Tamandua tetradactyla: one gene and its partners. The protein of the gene in region 1 purifies or fractionates together with the protein of each later gene. This does not show direct contact. Links are inferred from orthologs where the notes say so. Each region holds a gene or a part of one and is shown on either strand. Other genes may lie near its edges. The genes, in order: PTPN6, CD72, CD22 and RPL35A.

What was found.
Region 2: the proteins of PTPN6 (region 1) and CD72 purify together in Homo sapiens (affinity purification with western blotting; 3 studies listed by BioGRID). This does not show direct contact. The link is inferred for Tamandua tetradactyla from reciprocal best matches to the Homo sapiens genes PTPN6 and CD72.
Region 3: the proteins of PTPN6 (region 1) and CD22 purify together in Homo sapiens (affinity purification with western blotting; 5 studies listed by BioGRID and IntAct, with this or other methods). This does not show direct contact. The link is inferred for Tamandua tetradactyla from reciprocal best matches to the Homo sapiens genes PTPN6 and CD22.
Region 4: the proteins of PTPN6 (region 1) and RPL35A purify together in Homo sapiens (affinity purification with mass spectrometry; 3 studies listed by BioGRID and IntAct, with this or other methods). This does not show direct contact. The link is inferred for Tamandua tetradactyla from reciprocal best matches to the Homo sapiens genes PTPN6 and RPL35A.

What each region holds. Positions count from the first base shown.
Region 1 is NC_135333.1:69,240,604-69,248,333, reverse strand, and holds the start of PTPN6 (tyrosine-protein phosphatase non-receptor type 6), read right to left. Parts: upstream 3,022-7,730; 5' UTR 2,797-3,021; coding exon 2,783-2,796; intron 1-2,782. Other genes in the region: C7H12orf57 (protein C10), read right to left, coding at 3,598-3,749, 4,445-4,621, 4,951-5,002; ATN1 (atrophin-1), read right to left, coding at 6,647-6,680, 6,831-7,011, 7,351-7,494. UniProt on the Homo sapiens protein: Tyrosine phosphatase enzyme that plays important roles in controlling immune signaling pathways and fundamental physiological processes such as hematopoiesis.
Region 2 is NC_135328.1:60,158,855-60,166,816, forward strand, and holds the start of CD72 (B-cell differentiation antigen CD72), read left to right. Parts: upstream 1-4,809; 5' UTR 4,810-4,964; coding exon 4,965-5,046; intron 5,047-5,159; coding exon 5,160-5,267; intron 5,268-5,879; coding exon 5,880-5,954; intron 5,955-6,648; coding exon 6,649-6,738; intron 6,739-7,117; coding exon 7,118-7,453; intron 7,454-7,962. UniProt on the Homo sapiens protein: Co-receptor of B cell receptor (BCR) that plays both positive and negative roles on B-cell functions. Recognizes the Sm/ribonucleoprotein (RNP) self-antigen ligand, and coligation of CD72 and BCR inhibits BCR signaling.
Region 3 is NC_135342.1:30,854,270-30,861,767, forward strand, and holds the start of CD22 (B-cell receptor CD22), read right to left. Parts: upstream 3,143-7,498; 5' UTR 2,948-3,142; intron 2,359-2,947; 5' UTR 535-2,358; intron 1-534. Other genes in the region: MAG (myelin-associated glycoprotein), read right to left, coding at 5,071-5,235, 6,093-6,192, 6,905-7,001, 7,338-7,498. UniProt on the Homo sapiens protein: Most highly expressed siglec (sialic acid-binding immunoglobulin-like lectin) on B-cells that plays a role in various aspects of B-cell biology including differentiation, antigen presentation, and trafficking to bone marrow.
Region 4 is NC_135336.1:18,702,553-18,711,018, reverse strand, and holds RPL35A (large ribosomal subunit protein eL33), read right to left. Parts: upstream 3,038-8,466; 5' UTR 3,015-3,037; coding exon 2,986-3,014; intron 2,533-2,985; coding exon 2,488-2,532; intron 2,275-2,487; coding exon 2,122-2,274; intron 1,029-2,121; coding exon 884-1,028; intron 240-883; coding exon 216-239; 3' UTR 169-215; downstream 1-168.

The DNA of each region.
Region 1 (7,730 bases):
TTATACGACAATAAAAAAGTTAAGGACAAATAGTAAAATCTACAAGTCCAGCACATATCTGGTCCAGTGTAAACGCCCACACATGAGCACCGGGTCCTGACCACATGTGAGACCTCAGCTCCGTGCTCAGCACCAAATACCTCCTGCACCCTGGCTCCACCCACTCTCTCTCCTCAGCTTAAACCTACTTGTCGGGAAAGATCTAACTAAGCGTCCAGAAACTCCTGACTCATCAAAGATGCAGGAATTTATCTGAAATGTGCACAGTCAGAAGGTAGAGACACAAAGAGATGGACAGTCAGTCTCTGCTGCCCCTTGGCAGGGAAATTTTAAAATAATAACCCCCAACCACTGAGTAAGGCCTGAAACAGATGTTCTTACACCAATGTTGATAGCAGCATTATTCACAGTTGCTGAAAGGTAGAAGCAACCCAAAACCCAAGTGTCCGTCTACAGATGAAAAGATCAGCAGAATGTGTTCTATCCATACAAGGGAACACTGTTCAGCCATAAAAAGGAATGACGTCCTGATACACACGACCACATGGCTGAACCCTGAAGACATCATTTTGAGCAAAATTAGCCAGACACAAAAGGGTAGATATCATATGATTTCACTTATGTGAAATAACTAGAATATGCAAATTCATAGAGACAGAAAGTAGACTCCAGGTTCCTGGGGCAAGGGTGGGGACCGAGGAGTCACTGCTTACTGGGTAGAGGGTTTCTGTCTGGGGCAATGGAAACATTTTGGTAATGGACGGTGGCGATGGTAGCACAACACTGCTAACGTAATTACCACTGATGGTATACTCGAGAGTGGTTAAAATGGGAAATTTTATGTTGAATACATGTCACCACAATAAAATTTTTTTTAGGAAGAAAGATAAAGTTTGATAGTTGTTCCATGCTCTTGAGTTAGCAGAGCATTTGCACGTGCATAATCCTATTTTGGCCATGGATGGACCTGTGATGTAGGAATATCTTCTACGTTTTTGAAGGGGAGGAAACTGGCTTAGAGCAGCTGGGAGTTACATATTAAGAGCCTGATAATTCAGAACAGAAAATTACTCCTTTGGGAAACAAGGAGATAAAAGCGGAGACCAAGATCAATGGTGAGACCTAAAGACAAGCAGTCTGAAAGGGCAAAGGGCAGACGAGGTGAAACAACTTCTAGAAAGTAGTTTAACTCCTCTGAGTCTCAGTATCCCCACCTATAAATAGGCTTAATGATATTTCCCAAACACTGATATAAAAAGCTGATAGGTGATAGCTTTCAGGGCCAACAGATTTTACATGACATTATTAATCCTCATGTCTACCTTTTAGTGGGTATTGATAGCTCAACTTTGGAAATAAAAACTCAGGTGCAGAGGGGTTATGTAACATGCCCAAGTCACAAGCTAGTAAGAGGGAAGATGGACAAACCTCGACTGATGCCAGGACCCACTGCCTTTTCCACCACACCAACCATACTCCTGGAGAAGGCTTCATGGAACAGGTGGGGTGGTCACTGGAACAGTCCATGGTAGAAAAGGAAGGGGGCAGGCATTCCACAAGGGGCAGCATCTGCAAAGGCCCAGAGGCAGCAGGCACAGAAGACACTTGAGGGGCAGTGCTGGACATGAGCTGAGCAGTGTGGCTTGAGCAAAGTTGGCCCGAGAGACTGGGACCCAGCTGCAGATAGCCTTCCCAGGCCAGGCCAGGGAGCCAAGGAAAGGTTCTGCAAGGGGGAGGCCATGCCAAGGTGCCTGAGTGTGAAAGGGATCAGGGACCAGAGACCCCATAAGAATCCTGTCTGTGGGGGTTGACAGCAAGGAGGGTGTGCAGCAGGGGAGGCAGTGCCAACAGAAAGGAAGGGGCAGATGTGAGTGTGAGAAGCATGGACCCACAGGACTGGGGGTGCTCAGCAATGCCCAAACTTACCAACACTCTCTAAGCAGGACTTCACTTAGAAAAGGCACAGCCTGCCCTGGCCCTGCCTGCCTTTCCTCCAATTTACTGGGCTTGAGGCATTCTGTCCTTTTGTTGTTTGTTTCCACATCAGTACCTGCCATTCCCTCGGCCCATGGCGGGAGCTTGACCTCCAATCACCACATGGCTGGCTGCCTCTTCTTCATCATCCAGGTCTCAGCTCAAAGGACACCTCCTTAAGAGAAATCCTCCCTGATCCCTGCAGCTAGTAATGCCCCTGGCAACCCCAGTCACTTGCAAGCACTAGAGCAGTTTCTTTTTTCTACATAATCCCTGTAAGGATCTAAAATTATTTTGTTGGGTTGATTGCTACATGGTGCCTCCTATTAGAAGGACATGAGAGCAGGAGCCGTCCGGGTCTTTGTCACTATTGCATTGCCAGCACCTAAGCAGGCCCTGGCACCTAACAGATGCTCAGTAGTCTCCTATTGAATGAATGATGTGAGAAATGGGAAAGTTCAGGGCAACTGAAAGGGAATGGAACCAAGGCCAGAGGTTGGGATGTGAAGGGGAAGTTGAGTGGGAGCAGGAACGCTTTTTCAGGTTTGCCTTTCAGGCTTATGTTTGAGACAATGTGGTTACCCAGGGCGCCAGCTCTCATGGGCAATGGTGAGAATAGACAGACATCTGTGAGGCAGGAGAAAAGGGGGCAGGGGGCATGAATGCGCTTAGGAGTCCTCACATCCTGGGGAGGGGGACACACTGGCACAGGAAGCAAACCCACAGAAGGTCCCACTCATGGTCACATACCTGCCCCTCCCTCCCAAACTTACGGAAGCCTGGGGACTTACGTAGACAGGGGACTTACCCACAGGACAGCATGTCCCTGGAGGGATGGAGGAGTCACAGGCAGTGGGCCGCAGGGGGTGGGGCCAAACCAGGGGCAAGCTAAGCACAGTGGCCCAGCCAGGAGAGGAAGTCGCTCAGAACTCAGCCACTTCCTCCTTAATCCCACCCGCCAGGCCAATGGCACTGCTAGGATAAGCCCCTGGACTAATGATCCCCGGAGAAGGGACAGGTGGGGCGGGGCTGGCCTCAGACCGCCCACAACAGCCCGCTTCCCCTCCAGCTCCACTCTACTGTCCCACAGGCCTGCCTGCCTATCCAGGGCCTCCTTCCCTTGGGAGGGAGGAGTCATCTGGCGCTCCACCTGACAGGACAGCAGGAAGGCAGGTGCCGGGAAACCAGGAAGTAGCCCTGGCAAAGGGAACGTCAACCAATGGCGGAAACTCACAATCCACAGAAAGCAATGAGGCGATGTAAAAGCCCTGGAAGTCTAATTCCTCAGAGAAGGAAGTGCCACCACAGTGCAGGCCCACCTGTCCTGGTGTCAAGGGTACCAGCCCATACTCTCACCCTGTGGGCGATGGGGAGGATTGAGGAGCCTGAGACCCTCACCTGCTCCAGGTGGGAGGCCAGCAGAGCACAGAGGAAGGATCTGGATGAGAAGATGTGGGGCAGCCTGGAACGGAAAGGGAATCAGGGGACAGGAGGTGGAGATTGTCAGGATCACAAAAGACTGACGCAGAGGCCAAGACACAGGCACGTTTATTATCCTCTGGAAACACCAAGGCCTTCCCTTCCCAGACAGCAGCACTGGGCAACAGGAAAGGACCAACCCCCTCAGGAGGCAGCGATGCTGCCACCAGAAGCAGGCCCGTGGGGCGGCAGTGTCATGGGCGGCAGGAACAGAGCCTTCAGCTTGCCTGACAGGCTGGCAATTTCAGGATCCTGGGCTTCATAGGACTTGACCAAGCGAGCAAACTTAAGGACACCTGCAAGAGGGAGTGGAGAGTTAGCTCACGCCTGGGAGGGCTGGACCAAGACGGCAGGAGGGGGCAGTTTGAACATGCCTCATAGGTTGCTCCCCCACTACCAGGGAGCTGTCTGAAAAACAGGACACCAGCTGGCCTCTATCCTGTGTGGTTTGGATCAACCACTTCCTGGTCTACACTGGGCACAACCAGTTGGGAATACAGTGAATGAAACAATCCCAAAGTAAAGTGCTCCTCGCTCTCAGGTGAACCATTTTAACAGTTAAGTCACAAGAGCCCTAGTATGAACGTCCACAAGATCCCAGGTCTGTTACCAACACAGGAGATCACAGGACAGCTGGGATTGAATCACACAAATCCCCAAAAAGATATTAGCTGAAACACTGTGACGGGGGCGCCAAACATCTTGTGGTTGTCACACTAAACTGCTAGAAGTCCAGTTCTGCTGCGACTCTGGGCATTTACTTTACAGATAGAGTCTGTTTCTTAATCTTACAATGGGATAATATAATGTTTAACAGGTAACCACAAAATGGACTTCAGACTTGGGTTGGCACAATTTGAGGTTAGATCCTTGGCGTCAACACTGCTGGGTTGTGGCCGCCGCCCTGTGGCGAAAAGGGGCACGACGGCAAAGGGGCACGAGCGCCCCACCACCCCTCTCCCCGACCCACCCCCATACCCCGTCTACCCACCTTCCCCGTCGCAGCTAAAACCATAAGCCTTGATGACCTCTTGCTGGATCTGCGTAGCCACGGGCAGCACAAATTGCAGCATCTTGCCCATGTCGTTGCACGCGTTGTCCCTAGCTTCGTCCATACGTACAGCGTTCTCCGGGGCCGAGAACGCCTGGATCACCTCGGCTAGAACCACTGTGCGCCAGGGCCATCCAGGGAAGAGCCCGAAGGAGGCGGTGGACCACCGTGGGTGGGTCCGGACAAGAGAGCAGGAAAATGCGCCAGGAATTAGTGGGCCGAGGCCATCGGCAGCCCACCCGATAAACTCGGCCCCTAATCCCTACCTTCAGGGGGCAGGACCCCACTCAGGAGCAGGAGACAGCACCCCGCGACAGCTCCATCCTCTCTCCTCCCATCCTTCCCTCCTACCCCCGACGATGACAGCCACTATTGTCTCCCGATCCTGCACCCTCATCCTCCCAACAGCAGATGGTCTACACGAGTAACTGGGAATGCTTCCTCACCCTTCGCCTGTTCGGCGCTCAGGGGTGCGGTTTGGGCCGAAGCAGCCGCCATACGGACGAATTGCTACGGATATAACGTAGCGAGGGAAGGAGCGGGAAGTAGGAGCCGACTCCGAAAGCTGTTCCGTGGCCAGAGGTGGTTTGAGAAAAACTCAACCTACTGCAACCGGAAGTTACTCTCGCATAACCTTTAACACTCCACGGCGGGATATGTAAGACCACCACACAAACACTACGGAACCCACAACCAAACAACCGAATTTCTGTAAACCTAGCTCTATTATTTCGAACAAAAACGAGGGTTTTCCGGCTAAAGCCAGAAAACCTACTAGACAAATTCTAAAAGAGCTGCAACACCGATAACGTGTGTCCTGGAGAGAATAGGAATACCTTCGGACTCCACTGTTGATGAGGGTGAATTCGGAGCAGAATTGTTTATTTATTCCTAGTTCTCATTAATATATAATCCGCGAGACATATTGGCACTCCCATGAAAAAAAAGCAGTATTCTGAGGAACTTATTTAAATCGTTCATTTCTAGAGTTTGTGAACGGTTTTCCCGAGCCTATGCAAATGAACCGACACTGATTGGCTGAGAGAACAGCCAGTCACACCCCAACCCTGAATATTTTTAAGAATGAAGACATCGATTTGGCTCAATAAAAGCCTGGAGTAAGCGCAGTTTTTGCATTTCCCTAAAAAGGCTTTGTGCAGGAATAGGTGCTGCAGCGTGACGCGTTTACTTACCTTCAAGGCTTTTCAAATTGCCAGCCTCTCCTTCTTCAAATCCAAGGGTAATTAAAGCTTCGGGGTTCTTGACCTATTTGAGATTAAGCTCACCTCATCCCTATAATCATTTCTCCAACTATTCCATGGAAAGGATGCAGGATTCTGAAATCTTTGTTCCAGAGGATTTTGGGGGGTTGCAGCTGTGGGACCAGAGTAGTTTTCTAGCCAAGCCACGTCAGAGGTTGGCCCATTCCAGGCCTCTAATAAGTGTCTTCCCCAAGCTTGGGGGAAGAGGGAGCGAGCACTGAGTGGGGAGTGGCACCCCCCCAACGAACCCATTAGTCTTCCAAGATCCCCTCTCCAATTCGGGGTCCCCACACCCAGTTCCCTCAAAAGGTTCGTCTGTTCCCACTTGCTGCCAGCCTCTCCAGGCACCGCAGCAGTATACCGCACCACCAGCCCCCAAAGCCCGCAAAGAACCAGTCGCAGCCATCTTCCTCGAGAGTCGTGAGGATATTTTTGTTTGCTTGGTTTTGGTTGGGATGTGTTTTAAAGAGCGTCATATAGATATTTATATATATAAATTATTAATATGGGGAGGGACGAGGGGGATACATCGCAGGGGGCGCGCGCACACGGGGATTGGGCGGGGCGGCACACGATGCTACTCAAAACAGCCACGTCTAACAGATGAAATAATCACACCAACGGGATGGGGAGGGGCCGTGGCCCGGGGGTTTGGGTATGGGGGAGAAGGAAAGCAGGGGATAAAGAAGAGGGTCCTGGTCCAAGATACTGTGCGCTTTCTGCCCCCACCCTGGCCACCTCCCCACACATTCCCTCCCTCTGCCCAACCACGGAGGTCCTGCAACTGAGCAGCACTCTCTCCTGGGCTCTGGGTGGCAGGCTGAGGGGGGGCCTCCAAGGTCCAGATGCAAGGGCCGTGGTACTCTCTTGGTCACAGATTCTACAGTGGCTTGTCACTTTCCTTCTTCAGGTGACTGGGGATGGGGGTAAAAGCAGTGAGTAGAGACTCCAGTTGACCCTGACCTGACCCCTCCTTGCCCAAGTTCCCTACCCCAGCATGCCTACACCCATCTCCAGGCTGGCTGAGCCCACTTGCCCTCCCTCCTGGTTCAGGTGCCCTATACCTGTAGTAGTCCTCCTGGGCAGGTAGCGGCACACTGTGCAGCGGGTGATGGGCATGCAGCCACTGCTGCTGCTCCAGTGCCAGGCGCTGCAGCTCCGCAGACTGCGCGTGCATGGCCTGCAGCTGGTGAGCTGCTGACATCGGGGCAGAGAGGGAGGCTGGCAAGTCCCGGTAGGGGGCAGCTGTAGGCAGGAAGGGTAAGGGGCACATGACTGATGGGTACTGAGTACCTACTCTGGGCCAAGAGACAGCTAGCTATTTTACATTCGGAGGAAACCAAGACCAAAAAAGTTAGGTGACAGACCCTGCAGGTTGTCAGTGGTGGAGCTCAACCTCTATAGCCTGGCACTAAAACCTTCTCCTCTCTGAGGCAATGCCTCAGCTTGCCTATGCCCATTCCCAGTTCCTCTACGTACCTCCTCACCCCTCCCCAAGCTCAAACAGACCAACCCCACCATTCAAATTCCTCCTTCGTGCCAATTTCTCATTAGCTCATCCCCACCCCCAACCTCTATCCTTACCAAAGAGCTGGTGACGAAGAACTTCATTCTCGTGCAGAGGATGAGGAAGAAGGGGGTTGGGGAGGGTCCCGGCTGGATAGGGGATCCGGGTAAGGTGGGACCCTGAGGCCAGAGGGTCAATGAGAGGGTGCACCGAGGCAGAGGCTGGTGGGCAGAGAAAAGGAAGGTGTCACCAGAAGGCATGTTTGGGAAAACCATGCATCTAGGTAAAAAAGGTCCAAGAAGGGGAAGAGAGCTGGATAGTCAAACAAGACCCAGAGTGGAACAGGGAAGCAGAATGGAATAATTAGGAGCCTACGAGAAGGTGAGAACAAGACCCCACTGAATAGGAGCATACAGATGATAGAAATTACAGTTGCCAGAGGGATCTGAGAGAAGTA
Region 2 (7,962 bases), on another chromosome or scaffold:
TATGCGTTTAGTTCATAATAAGTTTATAGTCCACTGAACCTAGCTTCCTAATTTGTAAATTAAGTGGGTTGGGCTCTAAAATGTCCCCCACCCTCAAATTTTTTCTACATAAACTATTGTTAGGACAGGACTCCCTCCATCCTATGCTTAGGTACTTTTCTTTTAACCCCTAATTTCATTTTTCAATAAATGCTAGCCATTGTCATTTATTAAATTATTACACTTCATTCTTCTTAAATTTCATTCTGTGGTCTGGAGTCATCTTTTTGCCCTGCTGCAGACATTCGAATCTTGAGTTTGCCTTTCAGATATTTGCTCTTCTTTTTAGCTTTGTGCCATCAGTAAATACAAATGTGTTTTCCATGTCATCATTCAAGACGGGACCAAGGAGAGCCCGGAGGCAAGTCACTGGAGACCTAGCAGCACTCTCTGACTTCAGGAATTCAAAAAGTTGCAGGGGCCCCTCTTTCTCTCCCTCCTGAATCTGAAGCTATGGTTACGGACATTTAGAGATGCCTTTGCCACAGTCTAGACCTATTATGTTTCCGGCAATCACACCATCGACCGATATCAGACATTACCTGAATGATTGCATATTTTAAAGATGAAAACCTTGGAAATTGTGACTTGTCTTAAGTCACATACCGTGATAAGGCTGGTTTCTTTACTCCCAGTATTGTGTTCTTTCCATTACATCATGTTTCCTCCACAGTTCAGGGAACTTGTCAAAACATTGTATATTAGTTTTCTATTGCTGCTATAGAAAATTACTGCAAACTTAGTGGCTTAACCAAGAAGAATTTACTCCCTTACAGCGTGTGTAGGTCAGAAGCCCAACGTGGATCTCACTGAACTACAATCAAGGTGTCTGCAGGGTTACATTCTTTTCTGGAGGGTTTAGGGGAAAATTTGCTTCCTTGCCTTTTCCAGCTTCTAGAAGCCGACTGCGTTCCTTGGTTCAGGGCCCCTTCTTCCATTCTCAAAGGGAGCAGCGGGTTAGTTGAGGCCTTCTCGTGTTGCATCTCTCTGACCTTCTTCCATCATCGAGTCTCTCTCTTCCCACAGCCAGGAAAGATTCTCCCCTTTCAAGAACTAATGTATCAGATGGGCCTAAAACAGGATGAGCTCCGCATCTCACGGCCCTTAACATAACCACACCTGCGTTCTGCCATGTAGGTAACATGTTTACCAGGGATTTCAGTATGCACATCTTTGGGAGGCCATTATTCTGCCTACTACACCCTGTCAGTAGGTCAGGGGGTAAAGTAGTGAAGATTTTCAGAGATTAAGGAGACTTCCCTGACTTCCTGATGTTGGCTGGACTTCACCAAAGTTTATGTAGATGAACCCTTACCCATGTTGCAAATTCTTTCCTGATGCCCTCCTCTTGTGTACCTTAACAACCCATTCCTTTTTTTTTATCATCACAATCAACTTTTATTTCTCTTTTTTGTGAAAAATAACATATATATATAAAAGCAGTCAGTTTCAAACCACAGAACTACAATTCGTTGTAGAAAAGATTTCAGAGTTTGGTGTGGGTTACAATTCCACAATTTTAGGTTTTTACTTCTAGCTGCTCTAAGATACTGGAGACTAAAAGAAATATCAGTTTAATGTTTCAGCAATCATATTCGTTTCTAAACCCTACCTTCTCTGTATAACTCTTCCATCACCTTTGATCTTTCTATCCCACTCTTTAGGGGTATTTGGGTTATAGCCATTCTAATTTTTTTCATTTTGGAAGGGGCTGTCAATAATATGGGATAGAGAGATGGAATTAGCTGATGTTTTAGAGAGGTTGGGCCCTTTAGGTTTCAATATTTATCTGGTCAGAGGCCCATTTGGAGGTTGTAGGTTTCTGGAAAGTTACCCTAGTGCCTGGAACACTTGTGGAATCTTATATATTGCCCTAGGTGTTCTTTAGGATTGGCTGGAATGGTTTTGGTTGGAGTTTGGCAAGTTATAATAGGTAGCAATGTCTAAACTCATGCTTCTTTTGCAAGAAAGAGAAATAATCTCTGAGGTTTAGGCCATTATTATTTTGGCTTTCTGTCACATGCAACCAATCCTAACTGTAACAACGCATTCCTTGTAACAAGCAGTGAAGAGTCCAGGAAAGGGCAAGAAGCGGCTTTGGTGTTTGTATCCTAGGGTCTCAGATGATATTATGGTCCTGGGAAAGCTAAGGTATGCAGCACTGAACTTCAACTCTTAACCACCCCCAGGGGTTCCTGATATTTGGACAGTAGGAAATTACAGGTGTCCTTTCTGATGACCAGCCTGGAAGGTCACGTGAATGTCAATATTGCAAAGATCCCACACGGCACATAGGCGGAAGGTGACGAACTCTGCTTTCACATATACCCTATTCACAAAGCAGGCTATAAAGTGACCTAAGACAGAAGGGAATGCCAAACATCATGAATAGACAGGTAATCATCACCTAAAGGACTAAAAAGAAGAGAAAGATAGGCTGAGCCTGATCGAGACATCCAAGGCAAGCTCCTTCTTCTGGGGCTGGGTGTGTAATTAAGCTCACCCAGTTTCATCCGAGTACCCACTTCTTAAACCTGTTGAAGAGTCAAGGCAGGCCGCATGCCCACTGGCTCCTTTAATCAGTGCATACTGGGAACTCTGTTTTGGCATTTTATCTGGCATCCAGATTATGGTCACCTGTGCATCTGTTTTGAAAACGGGGACATTCATTATGTTTAGGGGATTCCTGCAAGTGTTCTTTCAACGGATTCACACACAAGCTGCCTGCCCCTGCCCCCACCTCCATAACCCACAGACACAAGAAGACTGTCCCCACCTGTCCCTGCTGCAGCTGCTCTATGCACTCCCACTCACTCTCATGTGTCCCTGAGGTCCCCAGGGAGTCACCAGCACACAGCCTCTGTTATCTGGGGGCGGCTCTGATGGGGAGAGGGTGCGGGGTGGAAGTGGGGGGGTTGCTGGAAATCTTAATCAAGCAGGGACCGTTAACAGCTGCACTGACACCTTAGGAAACAGTGAGCCTTAAAAAGGAAATACTTGTAGAACCTGTGGCCATGACCTTTTAAGACTTTTCTTAAAATGGCTGTCATTCCCTGCCCCAGAAGAAAAGAACATCTCTCAAAAGCACCCCTCGGGCCCCAGAATTCTGCAGGTTTAACCCTCCAGATAGGCTGTGACGCAGCTGCTCACCTAGCACAGGCACTCCTACCAGACCGCAAAGAGCTGGCACTGCGCGGGGCACACTTGCGCACACAGGCACACCCCTGCCTCTCCTTCAGACACATTTCTCAGGCGACAAATGTGTGCTTCTGTCCCCATGGGCACTTTCCCCAGGGCGGGGCGGGGCTGCTGGGCAGCTCTCCGGACAGACCCACAGGACCCCTTGCAGCGCCAAGCCACACACCACCACTCATACAGTATGAGCTGTTAGCGTGCCATTAGGACCTCTTCCCCCTTCCTTTTTCTCCCCACAGCTGCAGAAGGGGTTTTTGAGGGGGCAGATGTCATCCGCTGGGGTGGGTATTTTTTCCCCACCTCCACACCGCCGTCTTGTCCCAGAGTTCTTTCCAACCCCCAGAAGGAGGCCCTGTTGGGGTTCCCTGGAATGGGGCACGCTCTCTTAATAATGTTAGGGAGCACCTCGGCACCACTGCTTGACACCCCTTCTCCCCTCCCTGGCTTTCCCTCTCTCCTCCATCAGCTGGGCCCTCAGCACCTATGAGGCCTCTTAGCCACCGCATCCTCTCCACGGTGTGAGGAGGCAACGCTGGATTTTTTTTTTTCCGGCAAGTACTTTACTAGGAAAATAAGGAGGAAACTAAAACCAAACCAAGAAAATATCCTTGCTTAGTCCAGAGTCTGCATGCCCAGCATCCCGCCCTGCTTCCTTTCTTTGCCTCACCTTTAAGAAACTGCAGGAAACTTTTTTCCTTGCTCTCCCACGAGGGTGTACGAGAAGAAGGCAATGCGACCACAAGCTTTTCCAGAGGGACACGAGCAGTACTGCTGCAGGTGCTGAGGTCCCTGTGGTTGTTTTTTTCATCCTCACCCCCAGCCCAGGCCCACTCCTGAGCCTCTGCCTCCCAGGCTCTGCCTGTTGGGTACTGCACGAGTTCAGATGTAGGGACACAGAGGATGACACAAGGCTGCAGGGGCAGGCTGGGAAAAGGATGAGGCTGACCAACCACAGTAGGGCAGCAAAGACCTGATGGGGGACTGGGGACGCCGTCAGAAGAGAAGCATTTGGTCCCTGGTGTTCTGTATCTGGGACGGGCTGCCACATTCCCGGGGAAGGCTTTTCCGTGACAGCAGCCCTGTGTATGTGTGTGATCTGGGAGGTTCTACAGGGCTACAGCAGGGAGGGAGCCCCCAGAGTCCCCAAGTTGATGAGGGAATCCACCACACAAAGGAGTCTCTTTCTGGGAAGAGATGCACTGGTGGGAAAAAGACAAGGTTCCCCCCCTCCCCCCACACCCCAGGCAATGACTGGGGATATTCTCTGGGATTATTTGGGCACAAGAGACTATAAATCATAGGTCCCAGCAGGCAGTGCAGCCAGGAGGGGAGGCTGGGGTAGATCAGGGCAGACAATCAGAAGGAGAGCTATTTGGAGCTCAGCATCACCAAAGTGGGTCTAGGATGCACGAAGAGGGAACACAGGCAGGATGCAGGGACAGATGACAGGGGGCCTGGGACAGGCCCATCCTCTGCTCCATGCTCTGGGCCCAGTTTCCCCTCCCCAGCCCCTCTGGCCCCGGCCCAGACATACCATTGCTTCACTGAACCCATCTGTCTGAGGCTTGCTCACACCTTCCTCTTTTGTGACTGGAAGGCATTGGGTAAAGTGCCAAGCTGAGCAGCCACAGCAGAAACACATAGCCTACAAGTGTGAAGGGACAGAGAGGAGAGTGGCAAAGGAGGCTTGGGGACAAAGGACAAGGCAGGGAGTGGAAGCATTCAGGACCATGGCTGAAGCCATCACCTATGCAGACCTGCGGTTTGTGAAGGCTCCCCTGCAGAAGAACGTCTCCAGCCGGTTAGGACAGGGTAAGGGTGGACGAGGCATCTCCTTGATTCTGTCTGTATCCCCATCCTCGTTTATGACCCCGTCCCCACCCCACAGACTCCACCCCCCTGAGCCCGGCCTGTCTCCTTTCCAGACCCAGGAGCTGATGAAGATGGGGAAATCACCTATGAGAATGTACAAGTGCCCTCAGCCCCAGTGGGGCCTCCGAGCTTGGAGCCCTACGGACTAGGGGACAAAGCAGGTATGGGGAGCCCAGGGGATGTGTGCTTGTGGGGGACTGTGTCTTGGGCTGGGAATTCCCACAGGATTCTTGGGAAGGTGATACCCTTCCGGGAAAGGGAAGGAAGTCTTAGGAAAGATGAGAATAAGAACTGGATAAGGCAGTTCTGGATAAGAACCAGGCAGAGAATAAAGATCCAAGGGGCTAGGAGGGAGACCCCAGTGGGGAGATGAGGGATGTGGGGAGTGATGGCGTGGCCCTGCTGTGAGTCACAGTAGAGAGATGAAAGGGAACCGGAGCGGGAGGAGAGCAACCTCAGAGAGAGGGTGGTGGTGTGGAGATACGGGGATCCCTGAGGGAAAGATCAAGGGACACGCAGTAGGGAGATGAGGGGGACCCCGGGGAAAACACAGTTGAGCCCCAATCGAGAGATGAGAGTCCCCAGGGAGATGAGAGTCCCCAGGGAGATGAAGAACTCCTGAGGGTGACAGAGGTGTCCCAGAAGATTCATAGAGTGCAACACAGGACACACTGCGGTCTCAGCGTAATGGTGGTAGTGAGGGGAGAAGAGGAACGGAAGAAAGGTCCCTCTCTGGTGTTTCGCATCTACAAATTGCAGCTGGTCTCCTTCAGCAGGGGTTAAATCAGAGCAGCCAACTAAGGCTTGGAGCTCGATGACGTCACCTGTTGCCGGGCGGAATCTCCCGGGTGAGTATCACGCCCTCCCCACCCCGCGCGCCCGTGACCTGCTGCTGGCCTCGCGCGCGAGTACTTGGGGGTGAGGCCGCCGAAGGCCCGATCGCTGCGGGAACATTTCCCCACTTCGCAGACTCTGAGTCCCAGGGAAAGAGTCGGGGGGTGGGGGTGGGGGGGGGAAGGCGCTGATGCCTGTTCTGTCCGGGCTGGGAAAGTGCTGGGCCCCATAGTGTGCAGGTATGACCTCGGGAGCGAGCCCAGGGAGCAACCCTTAGCACCACCCCTGTAACATGGTGACCCTGTTCCCTTGTCCCCTTACGCCCATCCTCATGTCTATCATTTAGACATGTGGATCCAGGCTGGACACCGTCCCCTACCCCCACCCCCAGCAGACGATGGCCCCAAAACCCGCTAGTCTGAGGCTTCGTGCCTCCTCCTACCAGATAATGCCCCTCAATTCTCTTTATCAGCAACAATCCCCAGCTCTTATTCTGAGGGATTCCTGGGGCAGGGGGGAAGGGTTCCCAATCCCTCCCCTGCCTGTGAAATATTCCCACAGGCGCACAAAAACCACCACACTCCTCCCTCATCAACCCTGCACCCCTCCTGTTAGGGATACTCTTTCTTCATGAATGCCCCCCACCTGCCAGCCCTTCACTGTGTAACTTCCTGGGACTGACTGCCCTCCTTCCACTGTCTTCCTAAGGCTGTGCAGCCGGCATGCAATACTTCCTTCTGGGCCTGCTCCTCACCTGCCTGCTCTTAGGGGTGGCCTCCATCTGCCTGGGAGTGCGCTGTGAGTACTGGCTGCTCTTTCATCCCCCATCCCTCCACCCCCATTGCCCACTCACTTCCAAACAACTTATTCCCTAAACTCCCCAACAGCCACCCTTCCTCAGCAGGGCCCATAGTCGTTACCATCACGTCCGTCCTTGTCCTCCTTAGCCTTTGGTCTGGTTTCTAGCCAGGTCTGGCTTAGAGCACTTGTGTCTGCCTAAAGGATCCTTACCTAATCCAGTACCTCCTTAAACTTTAGGCAGTCAAATCTTATATTTCAGCCTGTTGTGCAATAAGTTACAAGAAGTTAAAAAAAAAAAAAAAGAGTGGATGCTGAAGTCTCAGGATACTGGGGCGCAGCTGGAAATGCCCTCCAAATTACTCTCTGTGGCCAACAGATCTGCAAGTATCTCAGCAGCTTCAGCAGGTCAACAGGGTTCTGGAAGGCACTAACAGCAGCCTGCGGAAGCAGCTCTACCTAAAGATAACTGAGCTGGGGCAGAGGAAACAGGATCTACAGGAGTTCCAGAAGAAGCTGGCCCAGAGTCAGGAAGCATTACAGGCAGAACAAGGGAGTCACCAGGCTGCAGAAGGGCAGTTACAGGTCTGCCAGTCCAACAGGGAGAAGACAGAGGAGATTTTGCGACGTGAGGAGGGGCAAAGGAACAACTTGGAGCAGAGGCTAAGCAGCACACATGACATTCTGAAACCCTACTTCAGATGTCCCTCACCAGGTATCTGCTCTGGAGAGAGGAGAGATGGGAAGGGTCTGCTGGGAGGGATGTATTGAAGCAAGGGGACACTAGTCCTATCTATCACAGGGCGTTGAGTTGATCAGGAAGTGGGGAGTGAACCAGAGTAGTGGCTGACATGAGCTGTGCAGCTTTAGCCAACAGGGAGAAGGATGAAGCTACATGGTGCCTCTAGGAAGACCACATGGAGGGAGAAGGAGGGTGGCAGCCAGCAATCCATATCACACTGTCCAAAGCAGCATGGTAAACTCATCTGGCTTTACATGTCAAGGATCTGTGAACTCCCTGAATTTGGATGTGAAATTGGTTGTTTACACATTTTTCCAAAGAAAGGGTCCATAGCTTTAATGAGGTTCTCCAAAATCTGAGACCCCTTCTCTCCAAAAGGTTAAGAATTACTGACAGATGAAGTGCAGCTGGTGGTAGTGCAAGGCAGCTGAAGTTCTCACGCACGGGTGGCATGCACAGTGAGGTGGGTGGCAAGTACTGTG
Region 3 (7,498 bases), on another chromosome or scaffold:
GAATCTATAATTATTTCAAAATAGAAAGTTGTTTATTGTTTGTTTGTGTTATGCAGCAATCTCAGTGAGGGACTTGAGGCCAAGGGGGAGTATCATAAAGATCTCCCAGACGGAGGACCGACCCAGCAGGGTCTTTGATCCCTGCTCGTTGCCTACAAGGAGCATCTGAGGCCTTTGCCATACCCAGCTCTAGACATTGCTCATGGTCTCACAACAGGAGGAAACTGGGCAATAGGTTCATGGACATGTTGCAATTTCTGGAAGCAAAAGGCTGAAAGGAGAAGGCAGGGATGGGGGAGCAGGACTTCTGAGACAAAAGCTTTGATGTCTTCCTTCCATCTTTCCCCCTGAAGAGGTAAGTGGTCTCCTTTTGGGTGCCTTGATTGGGAGGTAGTGGAGTGAAGCCAGTAAGAGTGCAGCGTGAGACCTGGACACCCCCTCCCACCACATCCCTCACCCCACTGTGTACCTCTCTGAGCCCCCTCCCCAGGGCTCTGTGACAAGGGTCAGGATGGGGTTTCCTCATAGGCTTACCAAGTCACCCCTCTCAGCAGCAAGCACAGCATCTGATCAGCTTGTGGTACACAGACCTGGTTCTACTCCCAGTTCTGCTGTTTCTCAACTGTGGGTCCTTAGGCTGGTGACAGCTCCTCCATTTGCCCACCTCCAGGTTATGGTGATAGCAGAAGTGCCTACCTCATGGGTGTGCTGCGAGAAACTGTGGGCACACAGGGCACTCTGCACAGTGCCTGTCATGGACTGAGCTGCCATTGTCACTAGTTCTGCTGACCAACACATGCATGGTGACGTCGACACACATACTTTGGTGACACAGCCTTGCCTGAGACCAAGCTGTTGTTTCCCTCCCACATCCCAGAGAAGATGTTACAGGCAGACCGAGGCCTGGGAGTAGGCAGAGGTTTTCTGTGTGGCTGCTGCCCTGCCTGGGAATGAGCACGGCCAAGGTAAAGCAGGCCAGAGTTGAGAGCGAGGAGGGTGGGGTGAGAAGGAGGTGTGGCTACTGCTGAGCAGCCACCTGAATCCCCACATCTGGTCCACCCCCATCCCATCGAGAGAGCCCAATCCAGCCTGAATCTGACTGGGGAGGAGACTCTGGAGTGGCCAGCATCAGCCTGGATCCCTTTCATCAGTGAGGATAATGGAGCTGCCTGCCCCAGGCACGGTCCTTGGGACAGGATGGGGGCAGGCCAGGGATGGGTCGTCTCAGCCAGGGGTGACCCATAGGTTGGTGGGAGGGGAGGGACAAAGAGGTCCCTGTCATGACCCTGGCCTGGGCTTGGTTGTCCTGCCTCCAGTGTGGGGCAGCCTATCTGTCCCCAAGATCTGAGACTGTGAGACCTGCTCATCTTTGTTCCAGCCTGCTGCTTCTTAGCTGTGCATGAGTCACTGGGTCATCGGTTCTGACTTCCTCAGTTTGCCAGTCCCCAGTGCCATCAGCCTCTCTTGGGCCCCTCCCCAGGAACGAACATGGCCAAAGTAAAGCACTTGTGGTCTCCACCCAGCACATTCCCTCCCCGATCTTCAGCATCTTAGAAAGTGGCTGGAGTCCCCTCTGACTCCCCTCTTTCCCTCACCTCCAGGGTTAATGAATCCCACCAGCTCTTCCTCCAAAATGGATCCTGACCCCGTCCCCTTCTCTCCATCTCTGCTTCCTCTCACAGACACCTGTTATGGAGCCTTCTCTCTGCTTTTGCAGATCACCTCTGCCCATTGTCCACAGGACTGCTGGCAGGGTCTTTAAACCTCAGGCACTCCCGCCCCCAATACTCTACAGTGCTTCCCCATTTCACTCCGAGTCTGCTCATGACCCTCAGCCAGCTGTGATCAGGCTTTCTTGGGCCTCCACTCCTACCCCAGTAGGCATGCTCCTTCTAGAATCCACTTCCTGAATCTACTTCCTTCCAGTCTCCACTCAAGTGAGCTCCCTCTCTGAAACAGTAGCCTGGCCCTGCACCCTCCGTGCTTCTCTCCTGCTTAGTTTTGGTTTCCCTCTCTTCTGACTGGCTCTAACCCTGATAATCTCATTGTGTCTGTCACATCCAAAGCTTGTCAGCCCCGTGAAGGCAGGCAGTGTGTCTGCTCAGTGCCTGCTGGATCCCAGAGCCCAGCATCGGCCTGAGGCGCAAGCGGGCAGTCAATCATCCCACGTGCATGGGATGCACAGTTTGGGGGGATGAGTGGACAAAGTCCAGGAGTGTGATGTCTTCAGCTCAGCTCCTGCTTGTGTCACTGAATGTCAGGTCCTCCTCAGAGATGGTCTGTGAGTGGAGGACTTCATTGGTTCTCAAACTTCAGGTCTTTGTCTTTGACCATCTTGACCTTTGCCCTGTGAATCACCTGCAACATTTTATTTCTTTAAATGTATTCATTTGATTGCTTTTTCTTTCTTATTCTTTTTTTTTTTTTTTTTTTGGTTAGTCTCGCCCTAAGTTTTTAGCACATACACACAAATTTACCAGTTTGGTAAGCCGGTTTCCTTTTGCCAAAATGAAACATAAATAGTAAGGTAAAAGGAACCTTTCCACTCCCCTCAGCTCATCTCAGGCACCAGCCTGACCCTCAGACCTCACTTTGGGCAGCTCTGGGTCAGCCGCCCCCACCCCCCCCGCCCCTTGTTGTTGACGTTGCCCAGCTCCTCAGGGCGAAGTCCTCAGCAGGCATCGCTGCCGGGCCAGACCTGCCGGAGCCAGGGTCTGTTGTCAGGGACAGGTGCTGAGTGTGTATGCGGGAGGTGGGGACAGTGCAACCACCCCAGCCACCGCCTCTCCCACCTCTCTCCCCAGTGCCTCCGGCCTTGTATTTCACCCAACTCGTTCCTCGAGGCCTTCAGACAGGGTGCTCCTGTGCCAGACTCGGGGGGGCTTCTACCAGGATTCCCCTCCCATAGGGTAGTTTCTCCTGACCCCAAAACCCTGCCCATACTTACTTCATCTGCTCTGAAAGCCCTGCACTTCCCCTTGGGTGCAGAGGTCACGAGTTGCAGGAAGGCGTTCTGTGTGAGATTATTTATGTAATGTCCCTCTCCTTGCCCAGACTGCTAGTTCTGAAGAAAGGGCAAGCAGCAGGCCAGGTTGGAGCAGGACTCAGAGAAGGGCCTTTGGATGGATGACCTCACAGAGGGACCCTCCCCGACCATTCACAGCCCAGATACCACCTCACAGCCTCCTTTCTCCTGTGTGTGGCCTTTCTATTCCAGTCCAGTGGCCTTGTCACCATCCCTGCCCAGATGGCTTCTTTATTCCCATCTCCGGGCCTTCTCTTTAGTCTCTGCCCTGGATCCTTTGCCCTCTTCCATAACCAGTGCAGAACTGCCTTCCTTGGGAAATCCTTCCCTGGTTGCTTCCAGTCTTCCAGCTTTATTCTTCCTGCTCCCTCAATGCCCCAGCTCCCTGCAAGCTCTGGCTCCTTCTCACCAAAATGGCAGTCAGCACTCACAGTGGCAAGAGCCAGGGCTCCGGAGCCAGCTGCTTGGCTCTGCTCTGTGCCCCACAGCTACCAGCCAGGGTGATCTCACACCCTGCCTTGCTCCAGGAGTTCTAAGTTCTGAACTCTGACCGTTTGCAGCCCTAGGTTTTCTCTCTGCCTCTAGGGCTAGCTTGTGTGAGGAGTCTTTCCACTCTCACAGGGATGTTTGATGCTATATGGGGCAGGCTCCTTGGGACCTTGAACAAATGAATGTTTGTTCTAGGCCTCAGCTGCCCCAGGAAGGGAATAACGGTGTCATCTCCTAGTGGTTCCCAGGCATCAGAATCACCTGGAGGACTCGTTAAAACACAGGTTGCTGGGCCCACCCCAGAGGTTTGATTCCTTTGGGATAGGCTGCACATTTGCCTTTCTGACAAGCTCCCAGATGACACTGATGCTGCTGGTGCAGGGACTATACTTTGAGAACCATGGCCAAGGTTGGTAGGGCATGTAAGTGGGTTAATGGAAAAGTGGGTAGAATTACATGGCACATAATCAGCACTCAACAAATGGTGGTCTGTTTTCGAGTCTAGTCTGCTTTATGTTCCCCTTTAAGAAAAAAGAAAAAGGATTTTCAAGCAGAAGAACTGAGTCCTGTATCTGCCTGCACCATCTCTTTGCTCTGGGACCCTGGGGAAATCATCTAGCTTCTCTGAGCTTCAGGTTCTCACTTTCCCAGGAGGTCTAGGGCCCAGGACACAGCAGGTGCCTAATTCATGTTTCCTGAACCAAACGGAGTGAGATTTGGAAGACTGGAGCTGCACAGTGCAGCATGAATCTGAGGAACAGCTCAAGAGACCTGGGTTCCTACCCCCCATCCTGCAAGCGCCAGGAAGTAATGTCTGGGAGTGAAACCAGCCAGGCGTGGAACAGCAGGTAATGGTAGGGACTGTGGCACCTGGAGAGCCCTGTCCCTCCAAGAGGCAGCGTCCCTCTGTGTGCAAATGTGGGCACAGATCTGTCTGCAGCAAAAGTTGGAAATGAGGTTCAATATGGGGAAATCACTCAGCAGTCAATCTTAGAACACTGTGGGCCAGACTCTCCTGCAGGCGACAGCTCAGAGTGAGCACTCCTTTAGGGTGACTAGCCTGGGCTTAGGGCTAGAATCCCTGGCCCTTACTCCTCCACTGGGCCCAGCTGAGGGCAAGAAGAGAGGCTGTGATCATTCTGGAGGCCATGGGGAGACAAGGTCCCTCAAAGGTGTATCTGAAATCATCAGGATTTAGACAAGTGTGTTTGGCTTCAGGGCATTTATTTCATGTCCTTTTGTTGAGGCCCTAGGGCCAGGTGTGAAGGTGGGAGACCAGGCAGGAATGGCAATAAATAACACGGACAGACAGAACTCCCCTCCAGACAGATGAGGTTAAAAGAGGTTAGAGGGGAGCCACAGTGTGGGGTGGGGGTGCTCAGGGAGGAGGCGGCTGGGAAGGAGGGGGAGGCCAGGCCCCCAGGACCTTGTTGTCACCTTCCCCAGCCTCTTCCTTTCCCAGTCCCCTTTACTTTCCGGAGGAAGGGGGCCCGCAGCCAGCGGGGGTCAGCGAGGGTCCTGAAGGGGGGTGGCCACCCGGGCTGCCCCCGGCTCCCTCACTTGACACGGATTTCAGCATACTCAGCTAGCTCCTCCGTCAGGGTGTAGCTGTCCTTGGTGGGTCGTTTTCCCAGATCCGAGTGAGAATAGCTCAGGTCTAGCTCTGGGGGCTCCCCCCGAAGGCCCAGCAGCCTCCTCTCAGATCCCAGACGCCTTTCGCTCTGTAAGGGGAAGCATCCTGTTGGCAGCATCCTGCCCCCACTTTTCCGAAGCAAAGGCTGGAGTTCAGGCCCAAAGCATGAACTCAGCCAGCCCAGGCTCTGTGTGACTCTTTTTCCCCAAGGACGGCTCCGCCTTGCTAAACCCCTGACATCTGACCCTCTCAGGCCCTTGTCTGTTCTGTTCCCACCACACTCAACAAGCTCCTCGTAGCTAAATTTGAGATTTGCCTAAACACTCTATTTCTCCACGTGGTTGGGACCCCGCCTTTCCAGGGATGTCTAAATGCCTTGTTACATCAGTCCTCCCCCTAGGCTTGAGTCCGCTGTGGCCCCCTCCTCAATCTGGGAAACATTGTAGGTGTACCTTTGGCTTCCCATCATGCATCCCTTCCCCTCCACCCACCCCACGCAGACCTTTGGGTACACACAGGACAAAGGCCACAGACGAGGGAGCAGCAACGGGACTGAATAGACAAGGCTGGGACTGCTGGCAGGGGCAGGCTTAAGCCAGGACCATTCTGAACGGCTGACGAGGACGAACACACACGGAGGCCCCAGAACCTACCTTCTGGGGCTCTCAGTGACTTTCCAGGGGAGAGACCTCTCTGGACTATTGGAGAAGGAAATTCAGTCACAGCCCGGGCGGGCAGGTGGGGACCACAAGGGCGTCCCTTGGGCCCCAGGGCCCATAGCCTCAACCGGGAAGTCCAGGTAGCCATCTACCCTTCCTCCCCATCCCGGCTCCCCTTACCCGCTGAAGCTTCCCTCAGACCCCAGCCTCCCAGGCCCTCCCAGGCCCTTGGTGTCCCTGGCTTCTGGTTCCCAGCCAGCCTGGAGCTGCAGGACTCTGGCCTCACCTCATACTTCTCCGGCGCCCCAGAGATGCGAAAGTCGCTGCTAAACAGGACAGGGGGGTTGTCCCCGGCCGAGAAGCTGGGGCTCTCTGTCACGTTCTTTCTGTAAGGCAGGACATGTCAGCCCCCATGGGAACCCCCACCCCTGTCTATTCTCTTTTTGCACCCCCATCTACCTAAGGGCTTTGGCCCTTGGGCCCCTTGAGTTTCCCCATCCTCTCTCTAAGATAGAGCAAACAGGACCTCTTCCTGTCCAAGGCTGCCCCATTCCTCCCCTGCCTGGGGAGTTTCCTGCCCTGGCTGAGGATGGGCCACCAGGTCCCCAGCTTCTGTCACTTCAGGAGCTCAGCCTGGCTGTTGTACATTCTGCATCTGCCTGCCCTCATGCTGCCAGGATGTGCAGCAGGGAGGGAAATTCATTTTCAGAACAGCTGATGTGGTGTCCCACCAGGAAGAAAAATCACAGCAGCATTGTGTGGGTGAGGTTGGGGCTGGGGAGTGCTTCTGTTGCCTCCAATGTGTGTGATTCTTGGGGGTCCTGGAACATGCTGGGCTGCAAGTCAGGGATACCTGGGCTTTCTGCCTCACATTAGAGGGTATAGGGGAGAGTTCCCAGAGCTCAGAGGACATGGGCAAACAGGTCTGGATTTGAGGAACGTGATCAGCTCAGGGACCGGCATGCCTCTGACCAACAGTGACCCTGTCCTCAAAGCAGGAGCCACCCTCCCCCAATACACAGGGCTGTCCACTCCTCAGCCTCCAGCCACCCTGGAAGAGCCCCGCATCTCCAGATCAGCACTGGCAGGCATACTCACTTTCTGCGTGTCTGGGTAATGTAGCAGACGATGGCTATAAGGATGGCAAAGGCCACCACAGCACCCACAGGTCCAATCTTGGCCCACATCAGTCGGTCTGGGGACAGAGAAGACCCCGGTGCCCTCAGGACTGCTAGTGGTAAGAGGACACCTGGGTTCTTAGGAGATGGGCTGGGGCAGGGGTGAGGATCAAAATATCCGTGAAACTGACCTGCTGTTGCACCGAGCTACCAGCAGCCCCCTCCACCCGCCACGTACTATCAAGGGCCAGGGAGCAGCCAGCAAAGTAGAAGCAAACTCAAGGTAGCTGCTCCTTCCCAGCTGGACAAGGAACCTTTACCATGTCACTTATCTTCATAGCCTGACCCTACTCAGTGTCTGGTCGGCAACCCCTCCCCAACTGCAGCTCCCGCCCCAATGCCACGCCACTCACGGGCTCCCTGAAAGGGCAGCTCCATGCTCTTGGTGCCATAGAGGTTTCGGGCGGTGCAGATGACCCGCGGCGGGGCCTGGGCCTGCCCGCGCAGCGTGAGGATGCTGGAGAGCAGGAGGCCGCTGCGCTCTGAGTACACGAACTCCCGCTCAGTCTCGTTC
Region 4 (8,466 bases), on another chromosome or scaffold:
TCTAACACCCATTACACACATACAGGTCTCCAACTTCACGTGCTATGAAGCTATTAGGTGACTCCAATTAAGCCCCCTTTCCATTCCAATGCACAATAACCTCCATCGTCTTAAGCATATGAGTACCTCACTTTGGGGAAAGGAGTTTTTTAAGCCAATAAACAGAAATACAAGAGAACAAATTCGTAAATTTATTTATTTACTTTTCAATAAGTTTAAATCCTTGAGGGGTACAGCATCTGGGGAAAGAAAAAAAGAACACATAAATCATTAGGTGAAAGCTATAAATTAAATTTACATGTTATTGAGAATCGCAAATTGGCATGTTCCTTCCTATCTTCCCATTAGGCATCCATTCATTACATTCTGGGGGTAAAGGAACTAGGTTTTTTTATAGCCTTCAGTTTCTGGGAAACATGACTTGGTAAGAAGCAGCACTCTCAAAAAATTAGTAGTGCTCTATTTGGACTCCAAGACTTGGGCCAGAGTCCTAGAAAATGAGCACCAGTTCTCTTCGTCCATAAAATAAGGCCTAATTCCTTAACAAAACTGACACGAGGATGAAGAGATGGGAAAACATTCTTAATAATTTCAGGAAAAATGGGTTGAGTTTTTCTTTCTCTACTGCTTATTTCTGTGCTGAGTAAATACCTTTGCAAGAAAACCATTGATTTAAATACTATGTTTTACCAGGCAGCTTTAGTAAATTCTAAAACTCAGGTACATTCCATTTGGACACTTTGCAACAGTCAGGTGTGCCCTAATATTCATCAGTTCCAAAGTGGCCACTAATATTGCAGCATAATCTACTGGTAACATTGTACAAAGTAGAATCACAGTAGTCTCACTAAACCAAAGGTTATTTGCTAATAATTGTACTTACTACACGGATTCGGTGTCCAATGGCCTTAGCAGGAAGGTTGCTTCGGAATTTGGCACGAACCATGCCACTATTTCCATGGGCACGTGTTACCTTTCCCCAGATTACTCTGGTTTTGTTAGGTTTGCCACCAGGAGTCACTGTGTTGCTGATTTAATTTAAAGGGGGGGGGGGGAATAGCGCATGAGAACTCAGGTAACCAATATAGTTTGGTACAAATTCAAGGCGACTTTTAGATTAATGGCTCTCAATCCTAGTTCCCCATAAATGGGTGGGGGAGGATACCTGGGCTCATTTATCCAAAAAATATTTATTGCACACCTACTGTATGCCAAGCACTTTTTAAATGTTGGGCATACAGCAATTTACTAACCAAAAAAATTCCTTCCACAGGATATTCAAGTAAAAAGCAAATATGTAAAATAGTATGTCACATGCTAATAGCTTCAATATTAGAGGGGAATAATGCAAAGGGGGTTAAGTATGAGGATAACATTTGGGTATAGGGACAGTGAGTACTCAATTTGAAATTGCCAGGGAAGGTCCCACTGAGGTGACACTGGAATAAAGACAGGAAGGTAGAGAAACAAGCCATAAAGTCTCTGGGACAGAGCATTCCAGACAGGAGAACAAGCCAAGTGAAAAGGGAGTTTGCCTGGCCTGCAAAGACCCTAACTGGAGTCAGAAGACTGCACAGTCTTCAGTGCTCTTTAAAGACTTTGGCTTTTACTGAAGAAGATGATGAACCACTGGAGTTTGACCAATATACATATGATGTGACTTATACTTTCATAGGATTACTTTAGCAGTATAGGTGGTGTGAGGTAAGAGACAGGGATGAAACCAAGCCCCTAGAGATATTCATTGGTCTGGGGAGGGCTAAGAATCACTGTTCTAAACACGTAACAGTTTATATAAAAAAGTACATCCTCTATAAAAACCAATTTTAGGGATCCAACAAAATGAATTAAGGCACATGAAATGCACTTTATTAACTCTAAGAAGGATCAAGATATAAGAAATTAGCTCCTTCCTTGAAACAGTGAACAATTATCTTTCTAAGTGCTGAAGATACCTAAACTCAAGACCACCTACAAAAATAACATCCTTCTATAGCCTCCCATGAAGTTCCTTAAATACTCAAAACAAAATCAAAAGCAGTACCAATGACATAACCAACATCTGTAGTTTATTCTTTCAATAAGTAAAAATTCAAAAGTATAACAAGTCCACAAACTTACTTTTTGGCTTTGTACACATAAGCACATCTCTTGCCCAGATAAAATTCAGTCTCATCTCGGGCATAAACGCCTTCAATTTTAAGAAGAGCTGTATGCTCCCTCTGGTTCCGGAGACCCCGCTTATAGCCAGCAAAAATGGCCTTGGACCACAGCCTAAAATACACAAAATAAACAACATTAATCATACACTGTTAGTAGATCTCAGTTAACGGCAGCAAACCACCGGTATGATTAGACTTGTAATGGTTCCCCCTCAAAAACTAACTATAGCAAATACGTACTTTTTACCGTCTATCAGTTTTAAGCTACATTTAAGTTATGCCTAGTAAAAGATTACAAGTACAAAGCAATATTTAAAACTCGTACCTTCCGGACATATTTGCCGCTTTAGAAGTCCTGTTCCCAGCAGGCCTTAAAACAAAAAAGACTCGTTTAAAATCTTGCAACGCAACTCTTCCACCATGCCCCCTTCTCGTTTCTTAAATGTGTTGGACAAATATTTTTTTGATCAACATGTCATATGAGAGAATGGTGAAACGTATGAACCGCAGAGTATGAAAAGACAGCCAATCCTTAATCAATGTCTTTGAATCTAAGTAAACTCCAAAGTGGAGAAAAAAATATGTAAGTCGAAGAAAAACGAAGATGGGTGGCAAAACACACTTGACATTCTGGAAACTCCAGCTGGATACCCGGGAAAAGTCAGTAAACAAAAATTCAGAAAAAAAAAAGACATCAAGTATGCAGAAAATCACGCAGAAAACAGACATACACTGGCTGGGCAGGAAATGTTAGGAAAAAGAGGTTGTAAACAAGCAAAGCTAGATTTAAAGTGGAAGCCAACAGAAAATGAACTCAGCTTACAGGAGCCAATGCCTCAACTGACCCGGCATCCGAAGACGAACCTACTTCATTCAATTCGAGCCCAGCAAGCAATTCCAATTACCCGAGCACCCGTTCTCTGAGCGTCAGGGATCGTTCATCATCGGTCCCGTATCTCCTCCATCCCGTCCACCCTCTTGCTGGAATCCCCAGAAGTCACTGGCTGACAGGGCCTCGGAGCCACAAAGGTGCCTCGCTGAGGTACAGAAAGAAGCCTTACCCCAGTTATTTGACACAAAACCTCAGCAACCAAAGCCTCACTTACCTCCACAGGCTCCAAGATGGCGGAAAGAGAGCGGCGAGGCCCCGCCGCGTGGCCTTGTGGGATAAACACCTCTCCGCCCCGCCCCCAGTTTAGGCATCTTCCGCGACCGCCAGCAACACAAACATCAGAAATCATCTGATAGAAACAAGTCACCGCCAAGAGCACACGTGAAATTCTATTCTCAAGTCCTTTCATCTTTATAAGCTGCAACCTGTATTGTATGGGAACAGAAGGTGGCAAAGTGGTAGCCAGCTGAAGGAGCAGTCGAAAAGGACCCCCAAGGCTTTGGGTTTCCATAGAAACTCCCTAGTTTGGTACCTGCGCCGTGGACAGCCGTAAGTGGAAAGAGAGAAACCGAACCTGAGGATTTCCTCTGGCTTCGGTTCCTCAGTTTTGATTCACGAACATGGGATGTCTTTCTTTCTTACCACACCAGGGTTGGGTAGAGGTGGGCAGACGGAGTCTCTTTCAGATCCTACCCTTAGCTACGAGCACCAAGACAGGAGCCTGTTTCTTTCTCCATTTTTTCTGCCTCATTTCCTCCCTGTACTCCTTTACCCCTTACAAATAATGACTTAAGTTCTTACCTCCATCTTTTGCTTTGTCACTGAGGGTGAGGAGAATTGCCCTGCGGAAGCCTTACCGCCTATTTAGGACGACTGACTTATTCAGCAGCCAGACTGAAACGTAGGGCGCCCAGCATCGTGCCCACACGTAAAATAGGTCCTCAGTAAATGCTTGTAGACCAGAATGAACTGGATTTGTGGTCATCAGAGATTTGCATTTCCTAGTTGTTACGACTTTATTTGGGTTGCCCTATGGATTCATTCATTTATGCAACAAATAGTTTATTGAGTGACTACCATGAGAGCCGAGTAGAGGATGACTCCAAGGTTTTATGAATAAGTGTAAGTAACAATTAAAATCATATCCTCTGATAAATACATCAAGATAAAATTTATATATCTTATAGCCCCCCTGCTCTTCGAACGTTCTCTGTCTCATAATCATGCTTGAAATCCCAATATTTATTTCTCATGGTTCCAAATACAAGTACTCCTGCGAGGAGTGTGAGTTTCATTCATTTGTTCATTTATTCCACAAATACTCATTGAGTACAATGCCTGAAACTAAGGGTACAATAGTGAGCATCATTGTCATGATTCCATGATGCTCATGGAACTTATAGTCTGAAGACGGAAATGGGATGGGGAACTAACAAACAGTAACAAATTATGAGGAAAGTTCAGGAGGAAAATAAGAGTGCCAAAAATGCTTGAGCACAGGAATCAAGGAGCGCATACTTGGGGATATGTCATTTAAGGCATTTTTCAAACTGTAGGTTTCTAGCCATTAATAGATCACTGTCAGAATAATTTTTAAACAAAATATGATAGAAAATATCACAATGTAAGTTGTTTCAGGAAACTTTTGTTTTGGTTACTTGTATGTCTATAAAGATTTATATATGTGTAATGGGTCACTGTATCGATCAGTGTCCTGGAAAGAAACCATTGACATGCTCTAGTAATTTCAGGAGGATATTAATAATAGGTCTGTTTACAAAGGTGTAGGCTGGAATGAAACTACAAGGGATGGTACAGACCCCAGAGACATGGGAAGGAAGTAGTTGCTTATACCCAGGGGCAGAGAACAGTATGGAAAGGATTTCTTGACAGAGGCCATGGCCTTTGATAAAGGGACATAGCCAACCTATTGTGATCTGGCATAGAGGAAGCTGGAAGAAATCCTGACCATACTCTTTATTCTTTGAATCCCATTCTGGAACTTCTATTGATGCACTCCATACAGGTAAGTCTCTCAGGACACAGAGAATGGTAGAAATTGAATCTGGAGAAGCAAATGGAGGATGCCTCACAAAAAGCCAGTAATATAAGCTGGTACTTACTGGGTCAGTGGGACTTTACAAGGTGAAGGGAAGAGTGGTTCAAGTTGGAGGAATAGCATGTACAAAGGCCCTGAGTTGGAAAGGAGTGTGATTCAGTAGAACTGAGAGAAACCAACTGACACTGGGCCAAAAGAGCAAGAAGAGGGCAGTGCTGAGTCTGGAAAGGAACTGAGGGTATGGAACATGAAGACCTTATTGGCCAAATTAAGGATTTCAGTCTTTGTCTTCAGGCAATATGAAACCATTGAATGGCTCTAAGCAGGAGAGTGAGATTTTCAGTTTTAAAGACCATTCATTTTTAAAAGATCACTTCCAGTTTGGAGGCTTATAGATAGTTCAAGCAAGAAACAGTAGCTAGGTTCAGCATTATGTTGGGGTATATGGAAATAGGAGATAAAATCCAAAGGATTTGAAAATGGCTTGGATTGTGGAGAAGGTTGATATCAAGAATGAAAAAGATTGCAGTAATTAGTCCTTGGTTTCTAGAGGAGCCAGAACAGCATGAAAGCATTGGATTCTGCATAAGCACAGCCCTACCTTACAGATGCCAAGCACGTTTAATCTATGCCTCAATCCAAAAAAAAAAGGAAAAACAAAGAAACAGCAATACATCAAAATAACAAAATGTTGCATTACACGATGCCTCTTCCTAGGACTGCCTCTTCCTCAAAAAATTTGACTATTTTGGGGTATCTTTTTATTTTCTCTCAGTTTATGTAAAAATTGTTTTATGTGATTGAAATTTTGCATTTAAAATTTTTATTGCTTGAGATGTGCATTCTCCTTATGGTCACATTATCGTGGACAAAGGCACCATGGAAAATTAAGTATAGAGCAAAATTCTCCATAGAGAATTAGCTTTTGTTAACCTCATTTCAAGAGTTAATTACTAAAAGGCTGTAGTTTACCTGGGAAAGGTACCATCTTTATAGCACTATTAAACTGATTTTCAAGATAATTACAGTTTTTCTAAGTGCAATTTCAGGTGTTCTAACTTTAGGTGCAATAAATTCGGTCATCTGGCAGATCAGGAGAGTGGTATGATTGAATTAAATATACTAATAACCAGAATATAGAAAAAGAAACCTGTTGTACAGAGATTATGAATTTAAAAATCAGAATACAGGTTGGTGGGATGGTGGCTCAGTGGCAGAATTCTTGCCTGCTGTGCCAGAGACCGGGGTTTGATTCCCATACAAAAAAAAAAAATCAGAATACGATAAAAGACCACAAAACCATGTTAGATATTAATTTACCTTAATAAGAGGCTTATGATTCTTTTTACCTTCAGCTTTTGTAGACCAATAATTAAGTTTACTACTTAGCAGACATACCAAATGATATCAGCAGTTCTCCCATCTCTGGGACTGTTCTACTAAGCAAACAAGGGAGATAATCTACAGCTCTTACAATTCTTTAATTTTTTCTTAATTAAAGGGCATAGAAATCACTGAAATGTCAGACAACATTCCCTAAAACTAATTGATATTTCCTTTCCATTTTCAGGTGACTGCATTTTTGTGAGATTATACTTGTGCCATGGAGGGTCACAATACTAACCCAAGAATGGAAGAGTATGAGTATGTTCAAAGATTTTAATTTTTAAAAACTTATTTTACATTCTCATTAGCAGTGAATAGTGTTGTGATTTCTCCTTGTAATTTTCTTTTCTTTTTTTTTTTTTTTTTTGTGGATAGCCATTCTGGTGGGTGTGAAGTGGTTGCTCATTGTATTTTTTTTTATTAGAGGAGTTGTGGGTCTACAGCACAATCATGCATAAAATACAGGATTGCCATATACCACCCTATTTAACACCTTGCATTGGTGTGGTACATTTGTTACAACTGATGAAAGCACATTTTAATAATTGTACTTTTAACTGTACTCCATGGTTTAACTTAAGGTTCACTGTCCAAAATTCTTATTTATTTGGTATATATTTTTTTAATTATGTCTTCTGTTATATTTTTGTTAGCACTAGTTATCTACTACTATGTACCAAATTACTCTGAAGCCCAGTAGCTTAACACAAACATTTATGATTTCAAACAGTTTCTGTGAATTGGGAATTTAGGAGCACCTTAGCTGTTTAGGTTCTGGCTTGGGGTCTCTCATAAGGCTGAAGTGGGCCAGAACTGCAGTAACCTGAAGACTTGACTAGTGCAGGAGAATCTGCTTCCAAGATGGTTTATTTATGTAATTGACAAGTTGTTGGCAAGAGGCCATTAACCTCTCCACAGGCTTGTTTGAGGGGCCTTATTGGCAAGGCATCTGGCTTCCCAAAGGGTAAGAGATCCAATGTCTTTTGTTACCTAGCCTTGAATGTTGCACTCCGTCATTTCCACAGTATCCTCTTGAGTTACATAGGTTATTCAATGTCAGGAAGAATACACATGGGCTTGAATACTAGGAGGTGAGAAGGATCTGGCCTGCCTTGGACGATGCTTACCACATTCTGTTTTACATTAATGAGACAAATTTCACTTAGCATCTGAAGATGCTGCTAGGAAAAAAAAAGTTAATTTTGACTCAAATTCAAATTGGTTAAGCATGGTCAAATAGCATGAGCTACATATCTTTATTAAACAATAAATTGCCTTTGGTTGGTAGAATATCACTAGAAGATAGCAGTTAGAAGGTAGTTGCAGACTCCTATTTCTGGTTTTCTTCTAGGTTATATGACAATGTGAACTTCACAGGAGCTAATCTATATGCTATTTGTGCTTTTAGGTTTAATATTTCAACATCTGGTGCCTAATATTTTTTCTTTATTCTTTCCTAGAGGGCAGCTGGAAGTCTCAAACCTTCCTCCCAAAGTTTGGCGTTCTGAGGTGATGGTGTCAGTGACAGGAGAACCACCTAGTGCTATAGAACAAGAAGAAATAGTCCAAGATACTGTTGTAGAAATCATCCAGGAAAATACAGAGTCACTCTCTCTTCTAGATGTACTGAGGATCTCCACAGTGCTGGAGGATGCCATAGACCAGCTCTCTATTCTAAATTTTATCATGCCAGTTCAATATGAAAGAAGTCAAAGCACTAGCATGGTACATGCACTCATCATTATTTTTAATTTCTGCTTTCTTCCTTTTTTACTTCTCCATCATTTAGAGTGCCTACGCCATTACGTTTAACTTGGGAAACAGCAACTTTAACAGAGATGAAAGACTAGGCTAATTTCTGAGATTAGTACTATACTCTCTACTCTCAATTGGATTAAAATAGCTGTGGCTTAAGGTGTATTACTGTTCAAAATATCCTTTTCTTCTAATATATTAGCATTATTCAG